4 linked regions of the Drosophila melanogaster genome follow. The protein of the gene in region 1 interacts with the protein of each later gene in a pairwise test. Each region holds a gene or a part of one and is shown in the gene's direction. Other genes may lie near its edges.

Region 1 (4,979 bases):
GAGGCCATCATTTTTCTCCCTGCACTGCATAATAATTTTGTCATTTGCGTAAACAATTTAATGTGCGTGTGTGCGTGAGTGAGTGAGATATTAGAGGCCAAGTCAAGTCTTCGTAGTGCGAGTTTCTGCTGCTCACCCAAGCACTCCCCTTTTGAACTCCGCAGCCATTCGACTTCTTTCTCTTATTATTCCAATTTTCCTATGCCACTGTAGCTGTATTTTTCCCAGCTTTTCCTCCGCTTTTCCGACCGCTTTCCCCGTCGCGCGGCTTTGAAGTGTTTACATTTTGCATTTGAATTATCGCCGTTTTATATGCTTCGCTTTGATTTTCTATTCACTTGTTGTTATTGCCCTGTCTGCCTTACATTATATTAAGCTAATTTTAGTATTTAGCTTTCGTTTGCATTTCAATTCAATTTGGAGAAACGGTGGGGAAAACGCTGTGGGCTTGAAACAGACCGAGTACTGTACTTTTTTATTTTTAATTTCCAATTCGATTTAATTGTTGTTCTTGGCGCTGACGTTGTTGTTGCTGTTCCAAGTTGTTGTTATTTTTGTTTCGCCTTTTCCGATTTGATTTGTGTTAATGTGTGTGTGTGTGTGTGTGTGTGTGTGTGTGTGTGCTTGGCGCCGTTTGGCTTGGCGGCCAAACGTTCTGAACAATAAAAATTTTGAACGAAACGATAGGAAAATGCTTTGACTTTTAGGTATTTGAAAACAGTATTAGCATGGTGTTCATACTTTAAACAGAAACTGAAACTTCAAAATCCAAGAAATATGTTGCAACTATGAAAATCAGCTAATCTATAAAGATGATATCAAGACCACAAGGAAATAACTTAATAACAATAATACATATTTTTTGGTATGACCACTTTATGTATATATATATATTTATATACAAAATTGATCTTTAAAGAAACCCCCTTTGTTGATATCAGTGATTAAGTGCAGTTGAATTTTCCCTGTTAGCCTTGCTTATCTGGTGTTTATCCGTTCTGCAAGATCACTCAATTTCTCACAATTTCTCTCTTAGCTGCTGGTGGCTCTCTTTCTCCCACTTCACGCAGTTTGCCTTCGGAGAAGCTGAGTTTTGTTTACCGACTTGCTGTTGTTGTTGTTGTTGCTGCTGTCGCAATTGAAGCGCAGTTTCTGGCAGCAACAGCATGAGCTATAGTATCTATAGATATACCGATACCTATACTTATGCCTACATGTACATACAAACATATATACCCGTTCGTTCGTAGCTCCAACGGCGAGGCATGCGAAGTCCCTTCAAGCGTTTCAACGTACTTTTTTTTTTGCTGCGCTTCGGTTTGTTTGATTTGGCTTGCTCACCTTCGGCTCGACGGCAACAACAACAACAGCAGCAGCAGCAACAACAACAGTATCGAACGGACGTCGACGGAGGCAGCGACGGAACTGCGAATTCGATGGAGACGTCGGTGGCGGTCTCAACCTGAAATCCAACCTGAAACTCGAAACGAACCCGAGGCTCGTGCTGTGTTTCATTTGAATGGGCACACGACGAACGGAGTTCGAGTTGGATTGGCCACAGTGTGCCGGCCAAATTGGAAGCCTTTGGTTCCACTTTGCGAAAACTTTTAAATTCGCTTAACCAAATTGACAGCTTTAGGGCCATTTCAACATACGTACACGTTTGGTTTCTTAAAATGTAGATGGTAAAGGGGGAAAATCTTTTCGGTTGCACGCTAACGTCAGGGTGGAAGAATGAAAAGCAGTTAATTTCTAGAGAATATATCGTATCGTTAATATTTAATAGTCTTCCTTACAAACCTTAGACATAATTGTGAAAAAGTATAATTTATGTAGTCATCGGGAAACCAATTTCTGGAAGCTGTCGGACGAGTACTTGTAACTGTAGTCATTTATCACAGGCATCTTTTGCAAATACCTTGGCTCAAAGGACCTCATTTCCCCATGCTCTCCCTTTTGGTCTCTTTCTGTCTACCCATCCCGCTTGCACTTGATCCTGTGCCTAGGCCATAAATATCGTATTAAATATTTGCCTTAGTATCGCCTGCGATGTCGGCGTTTCGCGTTTGCATTAACGCCGAATGTTGTCTGTTTATCTCGCTAGTTATTGTTCGCGCTGCCCATAGGTGGTGTTTTGCCATTTTCGAGGGGGGTGTTCATGTGTCCATGGGCCATAGGGGAAGGGGAAGGGGGAAGGGGGAAGGAAGGAGGCTTGCTGGCAAGAGGAACAAGGGGGGGGGAGGGTTTCGGCTCTGGTTTGGTGGTTGCAAACTTTTGTGGCATTGCCAGTTGATTGGATTGCCATGAGATGAACTTGGCGTCGCATGTGAATGTGTGCGTGTGTGCGAATGAGTGTGGCAAGTGATTTATGAGTCCCCAGTGCTGATATGGGATACGCTATACGCTATGGATATACAATAGATACAATGTCATTAGCGCTCTCGCCGATACACTGCTCCTTTTTCCAACGTAAACTCCCTATTTCTTTCGTCGATTTTAATTTAAGCACATAATGGCGATATCATTGACACCCAGTAGTTTAACATTTAATTTTAGCAAGTTTTGCTTGTGTTAACATTATTTGGGTTTCACTGTGCTGCAGAGCGCACATTCCGAAAGGAAACACTTAACTGCTTAAGGGAATCTAGGAGCTTGCGACATTCCTGTAACGAACACTGACAAAAATCAACTAAATTTCAACAAGTGGAGTTTCTGTTTCTATCTCTCTCTCGATCGACAATAAGTTGGAGTTATTTCTAGAAAAAACGAAGCATATTGAAGATGATGCAGCCAGCGGAACAGATCTTCTCCTGCGGATTCGAACTCTTCGGGCGAGTACAGGGTGTGTGTTTGCGGAAGCAGACACGAGATCTGGCCACAATGAACCAGGTGCGCGGGTGGGTGATGAACACGGACGAGGGCACGGTGAAGGGACAGCTGGAGGGCACACTGCCCAAGGTCAACGTGCTGAAGTTCTGGCTACTGAATATCGGCAGTCCGCGCTCGATTATCGAGCGGGCGGAATTCACGCCCACCAAGGAGATCACTTCGCACAACTTTAGCCGATTCTCGATTCGCTACCACAATGTGGCAGCAACGAAAAAGGCCATTTAATAAAGAATTTAGACTTGTAGTCTACTACCGAAAATTGGAACTGTGTATTTGCTGTAACTATTTGTTTGGACCTTTAAATTGAGCTGCCTACGAATGGAGCCCAGTTGTGCTTCTGCGAGCATCATTTATAAACCTCTAAAATGAAAAACAGGCTGCTGCCAGCCACTAATTAAGCCGCACAAAGAAATGCTCAGCGCAATTACATGGAGGCTGGCACATCCACTATGTACTTATTTTAATATATGTATCTACAAAGTAAATATATGTACATATGTATATATATATATATGTGAGATGACTTGGTTAGACAGACACCTGCAGCTTCAGCTTCAGCTTCAGTTTTAGCCTCGGCTTGGCCACATTTCCAGTTGAGCGACGCCCCAAACTGGCAATGAGTTTTTACGGCACACAAACAGCAGCCAACAGGCAACAGACAATACTGGCTATAAGGAAAATCTAGAATAACAACAGAGAGCCACAAATATTTATCGCAGTGCGCTGAACAAGAACAGATTGACTATTTGATTGAAGGTGAAAATCTAGTAAGTCGTGACTTCTCAAGGCGGAAGGAAATGCCTTGAAATGCATTTTTGGGTAAATGTTATCTGTTATGAGAATAACGGTAGATATATATATATGAATTATACGTATACATATATGTACGTAATCCGCTGTCTATTCAACGAATGCATTTATTGCATAGGAAGTTAAGATTTCAAGTGTTGGAAAGTTCACTGTACTGTTTCCGAATTTCATTATTGACAGTTACATGTGTTAGCCTGCTGTTAGAAAAGTGCAAGCTGGTTTCTTAAGTAATATACTAAGTAATATTAAGTGTAACTCTGTTTGTAAATACCATATTTCCGAATTTGATGATGCTTATTCCGATTTAAACCCGTGTGGTTTTAAATCAAAATCGGATTGAAATCAAAGTGCCACATGCATGTCTTATCACATTTTCGAGTTGTCCAAGTGTAACTCGTAACTCGGAGCGAGAATCCAGTTGCCCAGCGCGCCTAGCTGTTGGCGTTGTAGCTGTTGTTGTTGCGCCCCCAAATGCCCTCCATGGGTCGCTGACTACCACGACGCCGCCACTGCCACTGCTCGGGCGATGGCGTCACTGCCGGCGTCTCTGCCGCCGAAGCACTGCGCATAATCACAACAAAATCAAACAAATGAACGGCACTGACACAGCGGCAACACCAACGGCAACAGCAGCAGCAGCAGCAGCAGCAACATCAACGCAGCGGCAGCAACATCACCGCAACAGCAACAGCTTCGAGTCGCGTGTGTGCGTTCATGTGAGGTTGTGTTGGCAACTTCGTTGCGTGTGTAACAGGCGCCCAGATTTTCCGAGAGAGCTGAAAAAGAACATTTTCACATGCGGAGTGGGGTGGAGTGTTCCCATTTGTGGATGTTGGGTTTGCGGAATTTTTATAGGTTAAGCTGTAAGCGGTGTGAAGAGAGGGGGGCGAGAGGAGTGTTGTTGTAGAGAGGAGGCAAGGGGGCGTGGCAGAGAGGCTGGGGCGAGCGAAGAGGGTTGCTGGTGTGGCCTTAACTAGTTTCAGCCGGCCGGTGTCGTTGCCTTATAAACGAGCTAAAAATGCGAGATAAAGAGCGCTTCGCACGACTCACTCGACTCACTGGACTCACTTGGATTTTTGTGAGTGATTCCTGCGAAACCCCAAACACAAACCCAAAACCTCTGAATTTTCCCAGAACACCCCCCCACCCCCCAACGTTTCCCCCGCTTTACCATCAGCTCAAATTCCTTTGCGCATTCCTACGACGTTGATGTCGCTGCCTGTTTCCGGTGTCACTTCCTTATTTAGTTGTTCACGTTTGTTTGTTGTTTTGTGCTGTTG
Region 2 (5,225 bases), on another chromosome or scaffold:
TTGGTAAGCACATACCTTCTATGTAAATGGTAGGAAGTGCTGCGTTCGTGGACTTGACCAAGCCCAAAGCATGCCAGGGATCAATGGAACCGTGCACGTACAACACATTTGTGGTCTTTGGCTTTAGGGCGCCATAGTTATCATTTGTGGCGGACACCACCAGTTTGAGGAACTTGGCGTTCATATTCTTGGAGAACACATCCATGCACTGGCGTATAAAGAAGTCGACACCGAAGCGATCACCAAATGTGTCAGCCGGGTTATCCGAGGTCTGATAGAAGCCGAATTCGTGGCAGGTCTGATATGTCCACTGGCGCATTCCCTTGGCCGTCTCCGAGTCCCAGGAAACGTTCTTCATGTCCGCCACCATCTTGTCGTACTTGTAGTCCAGGCAGGTGGTGTTCGATTCCTTCAATAGCATATCGTTGACCAGGCCCAAACGGGTCACAGGTGGACCAGCCGTGGTGTTTAGCATGACATCGCAGATCTATGGAGTTCAAACATTCTTAGTATGGACTTGATAGGGATCAAAGTGAGGATGAAACACACGTCGTCAATGGTGATGGTGGCATGGGGACTGTTGTCCTTGTTGTATTGCACCACTCCAGCAAAGTTGCCAGCCAGATTCTCAAAGAAATTGGCCATGTCCAGGTCGTTTTCAATGGAGTCCTTGATGGGAGTGCATGTTCTGAGTATAAAATGGTTTACAAAATTAAAATTTGTGCAGGACGATAGCCTAATCCACTCACTTGAACTTCTCGTCCAGGCTGCGTTGTCCAATCATGTGCTTGAGTAGAATCTCCACTTGCGCAAAGCTGCGGGTCACGGCGTCCACGCATTCGGGCTTGTAGGCAGCTAGAGAGGCTTTGACCACCTCGAAATACTCCTTGAAGTCAACCTCAGCCAGCAGAGGACCACTGGAGCTAATTGAACCGTAGATGAGCTCGGGATACTTCTCGCGTGCCCAGGCGGCCAGCGATCCCGGATAGGAGCCACCGAAAGCGATCCATTTCTGGCCATCGCCCAGATTGAACTTAACCTTCATGGCGGTTACAAAGCTGGCCAAGTCCTCCAGAGCCTGCTCCGAGCTGAGATAGTGCAGATTTTCGGTGGACAGATCAGCGGTGGGATGGCTCTTGCCATAGAAACGATGCTCCAACTGCAGACACAGCGCTCCAAAGTGCTCGGCATAGTGCACCCAGGCTCCTTCGCGCATCCACTTGGCCGACGCCTCGCCCTCGCCACCGATCATCAGGAATACGGGTGCGGAGCTGTCATTCCGATAGAAGTCGGCATTCACAAAGTATCGCTGCTGCCAGGTGCGCTTATCGCTCGACTTGAAGTGATCCAATCGCTGCTCGAACCACAGATCCTCCGAGTGCAGGCTCCTTTGCAGGGTTGGAATCTTGCTGGGCTCCCCGAGGAATCCCTTGGTCAGCCTTCCGCGTCGAAATCCCATTCCGGAAATGGGCGCAAGCAGTCCCAGGAGCAGAAGACCCACTCCCAAGGGCCTCAAAACGCCCCCAATGAAAAGCATATTTGCTTCCTTTGTTTGTTCGGGTCAAGTAGAATTTGCCAGTAATTGAAGTATTTAATTAGTTGGAACCTCGCACAGTGCCTAACTGTAAATAGCGACTGAAGGAGAGTGGTGTGTTCTATTTATATAGGCACCGTTATGTGTGTCGCACTCTCCTGATTATTCAGTTCTCGCTGTATTATCTATATTCGCAAAGCCGGCAAAGCAAAACTAAAACAGTAGGGGCATTCATAGTTATTGATTTCAATCATTAATTGAATTAATTTAATTTTAAGCAGAGAAAGATTTCTGTATGCTGTAAGTGTTCTGGTAACTTTACAAAACTTAATTTAGCTTTTTATTTATTTATATTATTTCCTAGCTAGATATTATCGATGAGCTTAATAGCACCGTAAATGTGAACGTGTTTTGCAAAATTTTTGTCAAGTAATTAAGAAAAGTATACATTCTTGCATGCTTTGATAATTTCCATCTGCGTGTAATTTTAAATTCTCACTGAACTAATTTAATGGAAGTTTCCTGAATTTCAAATGCTTTAGGTAGCTTTAATAAACAACATATAGTTTATTTGAATTATTCCATATATTAGGTAAATATTATTGTGGAGTTTCACTGTGCCGTTAATGCGAAAGCTTAATAAATGTATTTGTCAAAAATTTTAGGAAATTGTGCATGTGTATGCGTTGTTTTTATATTTTTCATCTGTATAGTCAGTTATAAGTAGCCAAATTTAGTAACTAGATTTTGTAGCTAAGTATGGCAGCACTGTTGCTGTGGTAGCATCTCTTTGTATTCTGAAAACGGTAACACTAATTGCGCGACAATTTGGATTGTTTACGTTTTTATCCAGTTTAATTGTAATATAATTTAAAAAAAATATTGTTGTTAACTGTCATAATGGACTTCAATAGCCTAGCCTACGATCAGAAGTTCTTCAATTTCACAGCGGCACAGTTGTCTGCAGAGCGTGAGTGCTACATCCTTATATCTCTGGATCAGCGTCCTTTATCCATTAATTCCTTTTAAATAGGCGAACATATTGTGCAGGACATAATTAAGAAGGGTATTGGTCAGATCATCGACAAGATCAAGACACCCGCCACAGCGGAATTGCTGGAAGCCGAGAAGGAGACCGTTGAGCGTCGTTTCCAGGCATCCGCCTCCAAGGGCCTAAAAGCCCTCAGGGAACTGGACAGCAAAGTGTTCCACGTTCCACCGCATGTGCTGCATCCGGAGCACATGTTCGTCGAGAATCAGTATACCAGCGAAGAGGAGGAGCAGAAGACAGCCAGGTTGGAGGAGCTGAAGGCCAAATACAGAGAGGTAACTTGTAGAACCAATGGAAACTATCTTGTATGCCTCATTTTAATCATTATAATGGGGAAAAGGATGCTTTATTTTATGTTTTAATAATGCTAAATCACATCAATTTCAGAACATGGCCATGCTGGCGCATTTGAAGATCGAGGAGGAGAAGTACGCCGCCATGGAGGATCTCATCCAGAAGGAGATCGAAATGCAGGATCGCGTGCAGCGAAGCTGCTCCTCCCTCAACATCACCAAGCTGAAGCAATTCTGGAATCAAGTGCCCCTGCAGATAAAGAAGGAGACTGATTAAATAAACTAACTGGATCAAGTTTTTTAATCTACATTTCCAATATCTTCTTTCGAAACTAGTTTTAACCCTGGAGTCATTTATAATCACTAAGACTCTTCTATATTCCACTTTACCTATTATTATGTCGTTAACTTAGTTTTAAACTTAAAATTAAATTAAATTAAAATTATTATGAATCCGAAACACCTAGATGATTACTTACTAGTTTTAAACCAATTTACCTTAGCATTATATTAGTTCCTTTGACAACAGCGGCAACCAAGCAACGGTCGCTGTTTAAATTTTCCAACTGCCTTGTTTTCAAACAGAAAACAAGCCGGTTAAAAAGTTTCAAGCACAGAACAGACACAAAAACCCCCTTATATGTTACATTTCGAATCGTATATTTTGCTATAAGCCTGGAAAAATGGGAGACTCGCACGATGTCTGCAGGCAGCTGCTGCCGCGCGCAATCTTCGGCATCAATGGCAAGGTGGAGAATGGAGTGCGCCAGCATCCGGTCACGGGATCCATCATCTTTGCGCTGGGCAACAAAATCGGCATCGCCGACTACAAGAAGAATACGCAGGAGTTTGTGGCCGGACACACGAACACCATATCGTGCCTGGATCTCAGCAAGAGTGGCAAATACATGGCCTCCGGTCAGATCAATCACATGGGCTTCCGCGGCTATGTGATCATCTGGAATTACGATCAGCGCAAGGAGATCGCTCGCCACGATCTGCACAAGGTATCTGTGCAGGCCATCTGCTTTACTGCCCAGGATAGATGCGTTGTGTCCATCGGTGGCGTGGATGATGGTTCCGTAATTGTCTTCGACATGGAGGCATTGTAAGTTGTTCATATCAGAGCTCATGCTTGAACTCCTTCAATGACTTCGTTTGCCATTACAGCTCTCCCATTTGCCAAACACCCGCATCGAGGGCCATCTCTGGAAATGCCTTGACTGTCCGGCCGTTGCACAACAATCCCTACTTCTTTGTGACCGCCGGCGATCGCCATCTGCGTCTGTGGAGCATCCTGCGTGAGGAGAAGAAGCTGTACGTACAGGATGTCCTAATGGCCAGCAAGACACGGGTTTTCTACTGTGCGCGCATCAATAAGACGGATGAGTTTGCCTATCTGGGCACCGGAACTGGGGACATTGTAAAGATCGTGCTCAACTGCTGCGATCGTGATCATGTGAGCAAACAAGGCTCAACCAGCTGCATCCTCGGAGCCTTCGGCACCCACAATCCCAGGAAGCCAACGGGCAGGGACTGCAATCGTTATGTGAATGGTGTGCGTGCACTGTATGTCCTGGAAGGCGGACGTCTGCTGATTGGAGCGGGAAATGGTGATATAGAGCTGGTGGAGGAGCGTACCGATGTGCCGCTCATTAACTTTCGCGATTATCCCGGACCCACATGGCCATATTTGCGCACCCTGAAAAAGACGCACGTTTCGGGCAGAATCTCGTCCTTTGTGCGCTCGAAAACGGACATGTTTTACATCTGCACGGACACCAACGAGATCTATGGGCTGAATATCAAGACTTGGGTGCTCAAGCTGCTGCGAACGTGCCACACCAAATCGGTCTACTGCATCACGTTTCCCAAGTGAGTTTGGATGGAACTAACCCTTCTACTTGCAATCTATTTGCTACAATTGATCATATATATGTATTTAAGGAACTACTCTGGTGTCTTTGCCACGTCGGGCAAGGAGTGCATCCGCATCTGGTCGTCTGGTCGCAAGCAGGAGCTGCTCCGCATCATGGTTTACAACTTCAACTGCGCCTGCGTGCGCTTTACCCACGATGGCACTAGCATAGTCTCCGTTTGGAACGATGGCATCATTCGCGCCTTCACTCCCATCACCGGTAGACTCATCTACGCCATACCCAACGCGCACAACAAAGGTGAACTTTGGGAATACCAATCCTTCTAAGCCTTCTTACTGAAATCCTCTCGTTCAACACAGGTTGCAGTGCATTGGCCGTGGCCTCGTCGGGTCGCTTGATCGTCACTGGCGGCATCGAGGGACAGGTGAGGGTGTGGAAGATCGATCCGTATCGCCAGGATCTCGTCG
Region 3 (5,633 bases), 9.6 Mb from region 1:
AGATGGTGGGCGCCTTCATTGGCTACGGCCTGCTGAAGGCGGTGCTCCCGGAGAGCGCCATCTACAGCGCTGAGAACCCCAATGGCGTCTGCCTCACCTCGCTCAACAGCACCTTGACCCCATGGCAGGGACTGGCCGTGGAGTTCCTGATCACCTGCGTCCTCATCTCCGTGTGCTGCGGCGTCTGGGATCCCCGCAATGCCACCAAGCAGGACTCGCTGCCAGTGCGATTTGGTCTGGCCATCGCATGCCTGTCGCTCACAGCGGTAAGTTGATTATTGTTCGGAATAATTCAGATACAGTATTAGATATATCTTATTTTGTAATCCACCTTAATGTCTGTTTGTCCAAGTAATACCGATACAGATAAGACTGTCTGCTCTTAAGAAATATCAAATTGACGATCCGCTATGCTAAAATTCCATTCACTATCTGTTTTCAATTTATCAGGCAAATGCACTTGACTTTCTCGGTATCGATGATAACCTTTCTTTAAATGGCATATATACACTTTTAATATAGACATTTTAGCCATCCCATGAAATGCAATCAATAGGTATCAAAAAAATGTTCTTAATAAACAATTGTAAATCCCCCAACAGGGACAACTGACTGGGGCTAGTATGAATCCAGTCCGATCCTTTGCTCCGGCCATTTGGAACGGATTCTGGGATGACCACTGGATCTACTGGGTGGGTCCCATGGCGGCTGCCCTGATCACCTCGGTGATCTACAAGCACGCCTTCCGGCGGGAGCTGGAGGAATCGGAGGTGGACGAGACGACGATGTCAACCAAGAGGACCTCGGAGGCGGAGCTCGCCTAAATGGATTTACTACACATAGGACAAGTTATCGTTTAAGTTCGTGTTCGTGAGAGCGGAGAGAGCGGATAGTTTTAAGTTGCGAAGCGTGCAAATAAATAGCTTAAATAATTTCCAACGCCTGACGACTATATATTTAATCTAATGTAAATGCTATGCTTATCTAAGCCAGATTATTTTTACGCCACGGCGAACTGCTTATCGTTAATATTTAATTGCTCATACACTTGATCAAATAAGCCACACGGTAGCCAAAAACGTCGAGCTTATGTTTATTGTCACAGCTCAGTTGCACACTGGAATTTCCAAGGGCTTATAAGGTGGCGTATACGCATGATTCCACACGAAGGGCACCATGATGGCGGCCAGGATCTGGCCAGTCAGCTGCATTAGAACCGAATTCGGACTGCCGTAGAATATGGCAGGCACCAATGTCTTGGCGGGGTTCATACTGGCTCCAGTTAGTTGAATCTGCAATAAATGCATATATAGCTATAGTATCTATAGATACAAAATCCAAAGCCTTTCAACTCACCCCTGCGAAACTGCAAGCGATCACGAGGAGACCCATGCGAATGGCGACCGAGTCGAGGAACCTTCCGTTTCGCACGTCCCACAAGGAGCACCATCCGAGCACGAGGACCGCGGTCAGCAGGCACTCGATGATGACGACCTGGTATGTGGACAGAGTGTCCATCGGTTGTACCAGGCAAATGCCTGGCTTGCTTTTGTCCACCAGCTCCTTGGGCAGCAGTTGCATTAGCAGGAAGTAACCAAGGAAAGCACCGGCCATCTGACACACCACGTACATCATCATCACTTCCAGGGCGATGTAGCCCATCAAGTAGCATGAGATCGAGATGCATGGATTCGAATGGGCTCCGGATACGAAGCCAAACACGTGCATCACCACCATCACCGTCAGGCCATAGTGAACGCTATACGATAGAGTATTTAACAATATTCTATTATAGAAATCTCACTAAGCATCACCTGGCCACCAAGAATTTGCTCTCACCACCTTGGTTCGTTGAGTCTCCCATGCAACCGAGCAAAATCAGTAGCGCAGTGGCACTGAACTCGGTGGCTCCGCGTATAAAGGTAAAGAAGTCCCAGATCATCGTGAATTATCCGTAATATGTAATGTATCACAGACAATTTAAGGAAAAAACTAACTAACTAAATGATCACTGACTAACTATGTATGTCTGAGTATTGATTCTCCTACCGAATTCGTATATTGGAAATGTTTAACAAATATATTCGCAAAGCAAGAGGGGTTAGGTTTACTTGGATCATTTGTTAGCCATTTTTGAATGTGTTTTTGCCTCACCTAGTTGGCGTGGAGAAACTTATTAACGAAAAAAGCATAAGTACACAAATTTGACGCAGAGCTTAAAGTATGTTTCGGGGGGCTTATAAGATTCTTACTTTTTTAAAGACAAGAGATACCATGTTTCTATGGTAAGTACGTCCGCAATGTGAGTTCCCTTAAATCCACAATTTCCATGCAGCAAGAGACGACCGTTTAGCGATCTTTTTGACAAAGGAGGCAGTGGCGGTATCGACACGTATCATGTTGTGAGTATCTCCTAACTAAACATTTCAATGACTCATAAAGAACGTTTACCTCCAAGAAACATTTGCAGGGGAACAAGGGAAAAGAGGCAAGGATCATGGAACTGACCGCACAAATCGAGTCACTTGAAATGCAAATCAAAGCCCTTGAGAAAAGTAAGTCGTCCGAGGCGAAGACTGCGAGGGGTAAACTTATATTAGTGCTCAAAGAGTTGAAACAAGCCCTCCGAAACATAAGAATGAATAAATAAACATAAAACTAAATGATTGCAACAACTTGTTTGTACTGGCAAGGGCGATGGTAATTTTACATTTGACATGCGTAACCAACGCGCCACCTATGGGACAGCAAGAATGCGTAGCATAGTTTTTGGCATAGCGAAGAATGAGATAACTATAAAATGTGGTTATATGCAGAATTTCAGCTCCATATCAGCAGTTTGCCAGTTTGAAGTATCTTCAACACTTTGCAATTACTTTCAAACTTTTAGAGATAATCAAAATTAGCTGTTTTCATTTTCGTAAGCATGGACATTAACCCAATAATCAGATCTATTCTCAGCCGCTTCAGAGGCTGCACCATCAGGTAGGTTGCATTCTGTGATTATACATATTCAATCATAACATTTTGATATATAGAAGTTATCTGGTTGTCCTGCCCGATCAGAGTCGCATAGAAAATCAACTAAAACTGGAGGATCTGCAAACAGTAAGTTGTTACCTTTCAAGATAGATGATACAAAAATCGAGCGCCATCTAATCAAATCCCATCGTCAGGAACGCGGAATCTTGGATCTGCAATCCCATGAGCTGGCACTCAAGCAAAAGCGCGTCGAGGCCAATCTAACCGACCTGACCCGCTGCATCCGTGGCATGGAGTTCGATGTGAAGGTGAATTCCAATCGCGAGAGGAAGGAGAGAAAATCTGATCGACGCCCCCCAGCTGATAAGAAATCACCCAAAGTCGGTGATTTCAGCGAATAGCAAAATCCCCCCGGGTGCTTCCCAATCCCAAGGGCATACGAGTGCAGCGTATAAAAACAAGCTATTGCCGGAGGTCGGCATTCAGATTCACTTGAGATTGCCAACCATGAAGCTGATCGCATTGTGCTGCCTGCTCCTTTTGGGCCTCCTGGGCTTCCTAGCTGCTCCCGGCGTCGCCTCGCCATCTCGCCACACTGGACCAGGAAACGGATCGGGATCTGGAGCTGGGTCCGGAAATCCGTTCAGGTCTCCAAGCTCACAGCAACGACCACTGTACTACGACGCTCCGATTGGGAAACCATCGAAGACTATGTACGCCTGACGTAAAGAATGAAACAATAAAGATTTGAAACGCCTAAACTAAATTAATCGCCCAGTTTCCTTATCTTACTTATGAAATGGCCTTGATACACATCTGCTTACTATTTATAAAATGCGTAATAATTATTTCTAAATTTATTGCAAATTCTAAATTTCATATCGAAGTAGTTGCTTTTGACCGTACGTCAAATATCCACATTGTACTTTCAGACTTGTAAAATGTATTTCTGCCACACTGATTTCGTTCTATCCTAAACTTAAGAAGCCATGTTTCCTGTTGCACGAATCTTAGGCTCGGCATCGTGCAACAGGCTATTTCAACCTCAGGTGCTATGTCAAGAAAGAGTTTGGTATGTAGTACTGGAAATTTATCCAAACTTTATTTGTAAATCTTCTAAATATTAGTTGGCCTTCCAATGAGTTGCACAGAAATTTACCAAGGCATAGAAACTTTTACCACGGTAGAAACATTTTCCACCCAAGGTCGAATAATAATTTAAACGAATTTCCTGCTAAGTAAGTATTTTATTATTCAAATGACCCGTAAAAATAATTTTTTTTTTACATATGATAGACGTCAATTCACTGACAAATTTTCCGAGAAGGGCAGAGGCGAGGAACTTAACTATGTTCTCAAACTTGTATGTATCGAAACTATTTAATGTTGTGAATAACCTTGTAGAATTGGGTATTCCATAGGCCTCAGAGCAATTTATGAAGATAAAAAAGAACAGGGTTAAAGAAATCGCCAATGATATCGTCAAATTGAAAGAGGAGATCAAGATTTTGGAATCCAAAACTAGCCACAAATCAAGGAAACACAAGGAGAATCTGCTAAAGGAATTGAAAGCTCTGAAGGATTTGTTGGAGCAATTCAAAAAGAGTCTCGAAAAATGACCTATCAAACGGTAGGCTATCACTTTTAAGTTTGTCAATATTCCACCTTGAAATACCTCATCAGTTACTATAGTAAATTCCAAATTATCTTCCTCCGTAAGGATACAATGCTGAAGTTGGTCGAAAAGCTTTTCCAACTGTTGCGACCCAGGATGTGTCAGTTTTCACAATCCAACAAGTGAGTTCCGTGTTCTGAGCACTTATGGCTTCGCTTATTAGATGCATCTCTGTATCCAGGAACATATCCAAGCATTTGTTCGAAAAAGCCAGGGCGGAGGAGAACATACATTTCCTTAAACTGGTTGGTTTGTGATCTCAAAAAACGAAAGTAATCTATTTAAATTTAATTGCAAATTTACCCAGCAACGGGAACAGCTGAAGTCGTTGCGAGAAAAGATTCTCAGCCAGAAGAACGAAGTCACAACAAAGATCATCAAGGTGGATAAGCAGATACAATCGTTGGAAAAAACCAAGACCGAAGGCTCACAGATGAACCATGAACAAAATTAATAAAGTGTAGCTGAAACATTTGCTTGTTTTGTTTTGTATTTTATTTAAAATAATTTGTATCTCTCATTTACACGCTTTACAAAGAAGTCTTCTACGACAACTGAAGCCGAGTTGGCGGCCTTCTTCAAGCCTGCTTATACGTAGGGTACATACATATCATATATTATATATGGTAACAATTTGTTTTGCAGCGCAAACGGAAAATATGAATTAAAAAGAACTTTCATGTAATATGGCATTGAAACAAACATATATAGGGTCATATATATATCAACATAGTCTATACAAAGATACAAATAAATACAAGTTCAAGTAAGAATCAAAATCAGAGACAACTGCCGATTGTGTATGATGCATTGACATATATAAGGTTCTTCTCTTAGGACTATGAAAAATAATCTTGTGTGCATTTCATGTTCGTTCAAATCGTTAGTTGTGGGGTAGCAGAGGTCAAGAACGTAAGTACAATACATTTGTGGTAGTTGAGCAACTTGGAGAGAGTGGTTCCCATACGAACTAAAA
Region 4 (6,786 bases), on another chromosome or scaffold:
CCCTCCATCGATATGGTTACATCATCATGCGGGCAGTTGTCTTTAATTCCCATGTAACAAACAATTAAAAGAAGGCAGGCAGCGCAATATTCGGAAAAAAATTCGCCATGCATTTTCTGGCGGCGTAACGCTTCAGTGGATTAAATTAAATTCCAAGAGGGATTCACCCCAATTCCATGGGAATGAAATCCACACATACAACTCAATTAAGCTCGCTGGCAAGGGAAAAACTTAATTTTATACTTAATTGCAGCATAAACGGGGCGTGGGTGCGCGGGGTCATCGGAAAATGGTGGCGGCTAGGGAAATCAATTTTAGCCTCCGTTTGATCCTTGAAGCATATGCCCCCCGTCAATTGATAAGCAATTTTCCAATTCGCCTACAATTTCCATTTTAATAGAAAAATCCCACGCAACACGATGAACAAAAATTTCGCACTGCCAAACTGCCAAATATGATGAAAGGCCGGGTGGTGGGCGTTAAATGAAAAATGGGCGTGTTCAGCTATGTATAAAGCCAAATTCAATATACAAATTCAAATCATTCAATTATCTGCGGCTCAACGCGAAGCTCCATGGCTTTTTGCAGCGAGGGGAAAAAGTTGAATCAATTTGGCAATTGAATTTCATGGAAAGTTAGGGGCAAGCGAGTGGGAGGACTTAAACAAGTAAAATAAATGGCATTTATCAGAAACAAATCAAATTTCCGCTCGTAATGTAAGCAAAACGAGGAAAAGATACAAGAAAGATAAACAGAAATTGGCAACCAGAAGTTGGGTTTCCTTTAAATGGTTAGGCAAAGGATAAAAGCCGATAGATAAATTTGGAACTTTTCTTAACCACCTGTTTTCCCTTTTTCTTCGTGAAATATGCAAGAAAAAAAGCCTTTTTAGGCTTTTAAAATACATAATAAAATCCATAAAGGATAGAAAATGTTTGACGTAAGCCGGCGTACAACTGTGAAATGCAAATTTCAATCCGCAAAGTTTTATTCTTTTAAATTCTTTTCTGACAACTTTTTCAATAAATATATTTCTGCCAAATCAACTCAGCTCACCTGTCCCAACATTTTTCTCCATTTTTCGCGTATTCCATTTCAATTTACAGCCATTAAATCAACGCTGACTGGGGAATATACTAGTATCTATGTATATATACACGCGGATATATGCTACTAAACAATGCTGTAAATAAACAATAAAATGGATGGCATATAAAAAGAAGATTGCACGCCGGCGCTTACAGACGGAAAATCACGAAATATCCACGCGAGTTTCCATTTTTCTTAGTTGATTTTTCCTCCTTTTATTAGTCCTTTTTATACGTGTGCACGTATCGCCGTGTATCTATGAGAAATACGAGATTCCAATTTGGTACACGGCATTGGATTACATGACAACGACTTTCCACTCACTGCCGTTAATGAGTTCAACTTCGCATCGCTGACTTTTCGATTTATCCATAGGTTCTTCATTTGTGAGTTTTGAGTGTTCAGTTTCAAATTTTGCAGCTGGATTCGGACTGCTTTAAGATGCCGCCACGCCCTGCAACATGCGGTTTTGTTTGGGCTTCTTGGCCAGGTCAATCTACTGCTCGCAAAACCGCAACATGTCGCTGCTGCTTGTGGGTGTGAGCTGGGCTACTGTATCTAAATCCGTATCTGTATCTCTGTTTCTCAGTATCTCAGTATCCGCATCTGCCCATCTGCATCTCCATGCCGAGTAGTCAGTGTATCCTTAGCTAAGCCTCAGCTTAATGCGCTTGCATAAACAATGGACGACCCTCCGTATCTTCATCTCATCTCCGCATCTGTAAGCGGATTTGCCCTAATGTCATTCGACAGTCCTTTCTCCTTTTCAGATGTTTACCGGCCCTCTTTTAAGTCTCTGAAAAGTATGCACTGCTAAACGGTCGCATAATTAGATCAGCTTCGGATTTCAAACTAGTGGATGTTTGGGCGCATCAAAGGTTGCCACCGGCAAAAATCGTAATAAAATCTTATCAAATTCATGGCAGTAGGAAATGAGAAACCGTTAGCTTATGAGAAAATCAAGTTGTCACGACAACCATGCACATATGGCAGTTCTTTGAGGATTCGATTGGCAAGCCAACCACCAGTTGAATGCAGACTGGAAAGGTCCTGTCCCACTCCAGACATCCACATTCCGAGGAAATCCAGCGCATGCGCTGTTGTGGATGCCAAGTTTCGTGGCAGGATACCAAGTTTCGGGCTTAGCACAAAAATGCCAGCACATGGGGCCAGGATAAACAGTTCCTTGCGCGCTTTCAACTGCAAAGGTTGCCCCAAAAAGGCACCTAACCGTATACAACTGGCAGATGCCCAAAACTTCAACATTGTCCGAAATTCGTCGAAAGTCATAAAAACTTAACAAATCCCCCAGTTTAGCACAAAGGGTCGTTTAACTTTTAACGACGCGACGGGGTAATTTTATTGCCAGAGTCGTGGCCCGATAACAGTGATAACAAAGTAGCCGCGTTAACCAAAAAAGTTTCACACTTTCCGTGCTCGAAATCAAAAGACGTAATCGTAAAACGCGGCCAAGTGTTGCGATTTATGAGTTCACAATCGTAATTGAATTTTATGCGAAAACTTTGGCCAGTTTTCCTTTGGATTATTGTGGCAATAAGACGAAAACGCAAATAAAGGTCGTGAACATAACGAAAATTGCCGCCAAAAATTGATACTAAGGTGAGTGGGACACACGACAAATTTCATTATTGGCTCCACATCCTAAATATCCTTTGGATATACAAGTCTTGTTTGTTGGTCAATTTGGGTTTATTTTATCCCTTTGTTGGGATCAAAGTCGGCCCTTTGCATCCTTGACAAACAGTGTTAAAAAGGTCAGTAGCCTTGACTTGAAAGAATTGCATAGGCTCTTGTTTCGCTTCGCTGCCTCCGGTCCTTTCATCTTCTCTATATAATTATTCGCAGAGAGTTTTCCCCCCTCTGCATTTTGCCACCTTTTGGCACTTTGGCTGCACATCAAAATGCATTGCAAACTTTTGCCACGAAAGCTGCTACACTTTCTGGCCTCGTTCGGCTTAAAGTTATCAGCGGCAAATGGGGGTGCAACGGGCTCCAAGGATAGGAATCAACTTTTTTCGGGGTGTCGCCGTACTTCTTGGGGCAGACTTCCTGTTAAGCTGTCAACATGTTTGGAGTGAAGTGTATCAGCTTTTCCGAAAAACTTTAAATTCCTCGGGGCGTTGAAATGCACGCGAGCATGCCCGAGAAAAACGTTTCGGTGTGAATAAAGTAATATAAAACTATGCCAATTCAATGGAATGTACTGCTCTTGAAAGACTGCTTTTAAAGACCTTTTTTTATTAAAGAAACCTTTTGGTTTTCTCTGAATTCAGCAATGAGATTTCGTTGATAAGAATATGATCTTTACTTTTATAAATACTGATTTTTTAGGATATGGTAAAACTTAAAGCAATGCTAGCAGTTTAAAAGAAGGAATCCAATCAGAACGCGTCCGTTAAAAACTGTTGTCGATTTTATGGCACGATTATAAAGAAGCGCCCAAGTCGAATTACTTGCCACAGCACACTTTTGGGGTTAATATGAAGTTCTGCTGCATTAAAAAGCACTGCGGAAATTAATGAAGATAAACCCCTGGACAAACTTTGGCAATCCACTGGCTTACACTTAAATCTGTGGCATAAAAATGCACTTAAATGCAGTCACAAAATAAGATACACAAGGCCACCGCAGCGTCCTTCCACCGCCCCACGCCCACCACGTTTTCCGAACCCCTCGCCAAGCCAGCAACATTTTCCTTGAAAAGCGTCGCCAAGGAAATGTCAAGCGGCGGTTTGTTGGCCGCAGTCGCATTCGTATTCGCAGTCGACACTTCCGCAGCGGCGACAGGTGCTGCCTGTCAGCTGCATACGAACCGCGAATTTTTCACCTCACCACCCACCGCTTTTCCGCGACACTTTTCCCTCGCCGCTCTTGGCCGTGTCAAGTTAATCAGCAAGCCATGGTTTCTGCTCTCCTTTTTTTCGGTGGCTTTTCAGCATTCCATCTTTGTTTTTTTCGGTTGTGGGAAAAAAAAAATTTCACGCCCGCAACGAAAACTTTTCATTTTCAACAAGCGAGTGAGCGAGCGTTAATAAGGTATAAAAAAAGTTAGGGGAAAAAAGGCGGAATAGCAGCCTCAGACAAAAGAGCCTCATAAAAATGGAGCTTGTTTGTTTGAGCTAGAAGCGACTGCTGCTCCTACTTCTATTTTTCCCCATTTTTCTCCCTTTTTCCTGAAAACCCGTTTATTTGTTAAAGTTTGCTGGTGTTGCTCTTGGCAGTGACTTTGGCTTCTGGCTCTTGTCAAGTAGCTAAAGACAACAAAACAGAGTCTAAATGAAAATCTGCTTTTATTCCACTCACTGGCACATACGTACACGAATGAAAAAGAGTTGTCATATACAGATTTGATAAACTATAAAAAAGGGATTTAATTTTTTTATTCAGGAAATGTATGAATTTAAGTTTTGCACTTCATTTAATAAATTTCGTTATTAAGTCAACCTGTGGCTTCTTATTCAAAACGTATTTGTTGGCCTAAAGTGTACTGTAAAATAGTATTTTGTAGTAGCTTAAATCACTGTTGAAACTTATTAAAGGATCCTCGTTTTTTTCGGTGCATAAGCGCCTTGTACATGTGCCATAATTCACACTGCTGCTCAGCAAGCGGTACAACGAAAGGCTTTTAGGAGTTGTCTCATTTTTCCGCACTCTTTCACTCCTTGAACGCCTACGCCACGCCCACCTGCTGTCGCCCGGCATCGTTGACATTTTCATTCATCGTCTTGGCAACCGTAATTAAAATCGTTTTAATTTACTTTTGCCTCACACACACACACCCGCACACACTCGCACACAAATACAAGCAAACACATGCAAGCCCACGCCTTCCGTTTCCTGTGGAAAGTGTAGCACACTTATCAGCGCTTGTCTGCGTTGCCTGGTTTATGTTTATCGACTTTTGTTTAGCGGCTGATGCTGTTGCTTTTCTGCTGCTGTTATTATTTCAGTCTCTGCCCGCCGGCGGTATCCTTACCGCTTCCCCCCTCCATGCCTCTCTCCGCCACCATCGCCCTACTCATTATGTGGGCGTGCAAATTGCTGCATATTCATTTACCGTTATCTCTTTCTTGTCAAGTAAAACACACATTTTACTACAACAACAGCTGCTGCTCCGGCTGCCTCCTTCACAGCCTAGCCACGCCCCCATCCGCCACGGATAGTAACCATTGCCATCATTCTCCGCCCACTCCTCCATGTTCTTAATAACATAAACTTCTTTTCTCTCAGCGCCCGAGTTGAGTTAATGAAGAATTTCCATGACGATGTCGTTGCCCGTGAGCCCGTTATTTCACTGCGAAAATATTTACAGAAATTCATAACTTCATGTATTATATGGATTTTAAAGAAAAATGATTTCCTAAATAAACATTCAAGAATTGAAAGAAAAACATCAATGCTAAGGTTCCAATTAAGTAGTTATAAAATATTTATATTATCTTAAAAGTACTTATTTTTTCGAGTGCCAAAGCATATCTTTTTGTATCAATCTTTTGATACCACTCCTGCCACCTGCTCTGGCTCATTATATTGTTGCCTTTCGTCGAGGATGGGGATGTTCAAGTTGCCTGGGCAACAACAAAACGTCTACAAATTTGCCAGTCGCTCAGCCGCTTCAGTTGGCTTGAAGCGTATTAATTTTGCTCATAAAATGATTCCCGATAAGATTTGATCTGTGTTTGCCTTGAGACTCCTTCGCTAACCCATAGAATTTGCCAGCCTTTTGAAGTTGACTGCGCACTTGAGGAGAATGGCGAACGTTCTGTGCGGATGATTCGGAGTATGAGGTATTCACCTTTGGCTTAGTAATGAAAATTCTGCGACGGCATCATCGTCGTCGTAAGCCGCTTAAAATTGCCGAGATGATGTGTGCATATGAGTAAAATCTCTGGGGCTTAGTTGGCCCGCTATCAAAACACTCGGCAGCACTTCAAGCGGCTCGGCAACATTTCGGCACCAAAATTGCCATTTCAATGTTGCCAGCAACATGGCGCTCACACATACACATGCATATTCACGGCACATCGCTTCTGTGGGCTTGTGTCTGTGTGCGATACACCCACACACGGAGAATATTTCGGAACAGGCGCTCAGCCACGAGTGTTGGCGAACACGCACTTCGCAGAGATATTCACCCACACACGAGCACAGAATGCAGACTCACTCACTCACAGACACACTCACAACTACGTACACGTACGCACTAAGCAGGCAAACAAAATCGTCCTGGAAGTTGCCAAAGCAACGAAAAAAGCGAGAAAGCCGAGCAAAGTAAGACACTCTTTTTCGAGGACGGTGGTGGGAAGGGAGGGCAGCGGCTGGTTGAACGGGGCCAAACAAAAGCGAGATAAATAAGGAGCACACCGTACACCAACACACACACTCACACACATAGCAAGAGAAGCATCAGACATTGAAACTGTTTTCAGGAGTGTTTGTGTGTGTGAGTCGTAAAACGGTCGCGGCCTGCAGTTGAGTCCTGTCTTAAGGGCCAAAAGAGAGGCTGCTTTATGGTCATTCCCCCATCGTTTCAACCACGCTGTTGTTGTTAATTTTGACGCTGGCATAATAAAGTTGATAAAGCAGCCGCAATGCTGCCTTTGAAGATTTCGTATTTCGCCAGCACCGAAAAGTAGGCAATTATAATTTGCATACAAATGCACGCAGGAATAAGTC

Evidence for each region.
Region 2: the proteins of CG18371 (region 1) and Mis12 interact in a two-hybrid assay, tested with the Drosophila melanogaster proteins (one large-scale study listed by BioGRID).
Region 3: the proteins of CG18371 (region 1) and CG42559 interact in a two-hybrid assay, tested with the Drosophila melanogaster proteins (one large-scale study listed by BioGRID).
Region 4: the proteins of CG18371 (region 1) and PVRAP interact in a two-hybrid assay, tested with the Drosophila melanogaster proteins (one large-scale study listed by BioGRID).

What each region holds. Positions count from the first base shown.
Region 1 is NT_033778.4:14,025,953-14,030,931, forward strand, and holds CG18371 (uncharacterized protein), read left to right. Parts: upstream 1-2,667; 5' UTR 2,668-2,781; coding exon 2,782-3,114; 3' UTR 3,115-3,144; downstream 3,145-4,979.
Region 2 is NT_037436.4:6,966,144-6,971,368, reverse strand, and holds Mis12 (Mis12), read left to right. Parts: upstream 1-2,320; 5' UTR 2,321-2,434; coding exon 2,435-2,504; intron 2,505-2,567; coding exon 2,568-2,860; intron 2,861-2,972; coding exon 2,973-3,155; 3' UTR 3,156-3,334; downstream 3,335-5,225. Other genes in the region: CG9953 (uncharacterized protein), read right to left, coding at 16-487, 550-688, 750-1,537; CG10064 (uncharacterized protein), read left to right, coding at 3,562-3,986, 4,049-4,753, 4,826-5,055, 5,118-5,225.
Region 3 is NT_033778.4:23,599,026-23,604,658, reverse strand, and holds CG42559 (uncharacterized protein), read left to right. Parts: upstream 1-3,871; 5' UTR 3,872-3,971; coding exon 3,972-4,054; intron 4,055-4,109; coding exon 4,110-4,220; intron 4,221-4,278; coding exon 4,279-4,345; intron 4,346-4,403; coding exon 4,404-4,601; 3' UTR 4,602-4,612; exon of another isoform or gene 4,613-4,702; 3' UTR 4,703-4,708; coding exon of another isoform or gene 4,709-4,779; exon of another isoform or gene 4,780-4,838; coding exon of another isoform or gene 4,839-4,902; exon of another isoform or gene 4,903-4,964; coding exon of another isoform or gene 4,965-5,111; 3' UTR 5,112-5,133; downstream 5,134-5,633. Other genes in the region: Eglp2 (entomoglyceroporin 2), read left to right, coding at 1-266, 603-824; Eglp1 (entomoglyceroporin 1), read right to left, coding at 1,107-1,292, 1,357-1,759, 1,815-1,942; CG43209 (uncharacterized protein), read left to right, coding at 2,224-2,285, 2,336-2,402, 2,459-2,650; CG10332 (uncharacterized protein), read left to right, coding at 2,927-2,985, 3,039-3,108, 3,177-3,383; IM18 (immune induced molecule 18), read left to right, coding at 3,490-3,705; CG42560 (uncharacterized protein), read left to right, coding at 4,709-4,779, 4,839-4,902, 4,965-5,111.
Region 4 is NT_037436.4:5,994,945-6,001,730, forward strand, and holds the start of PVRAP (PVR adaptor protein), read left to right. Parts: upstream 1-2,263; 5' UTR 2,264-2,709; intron 2,710-6,786.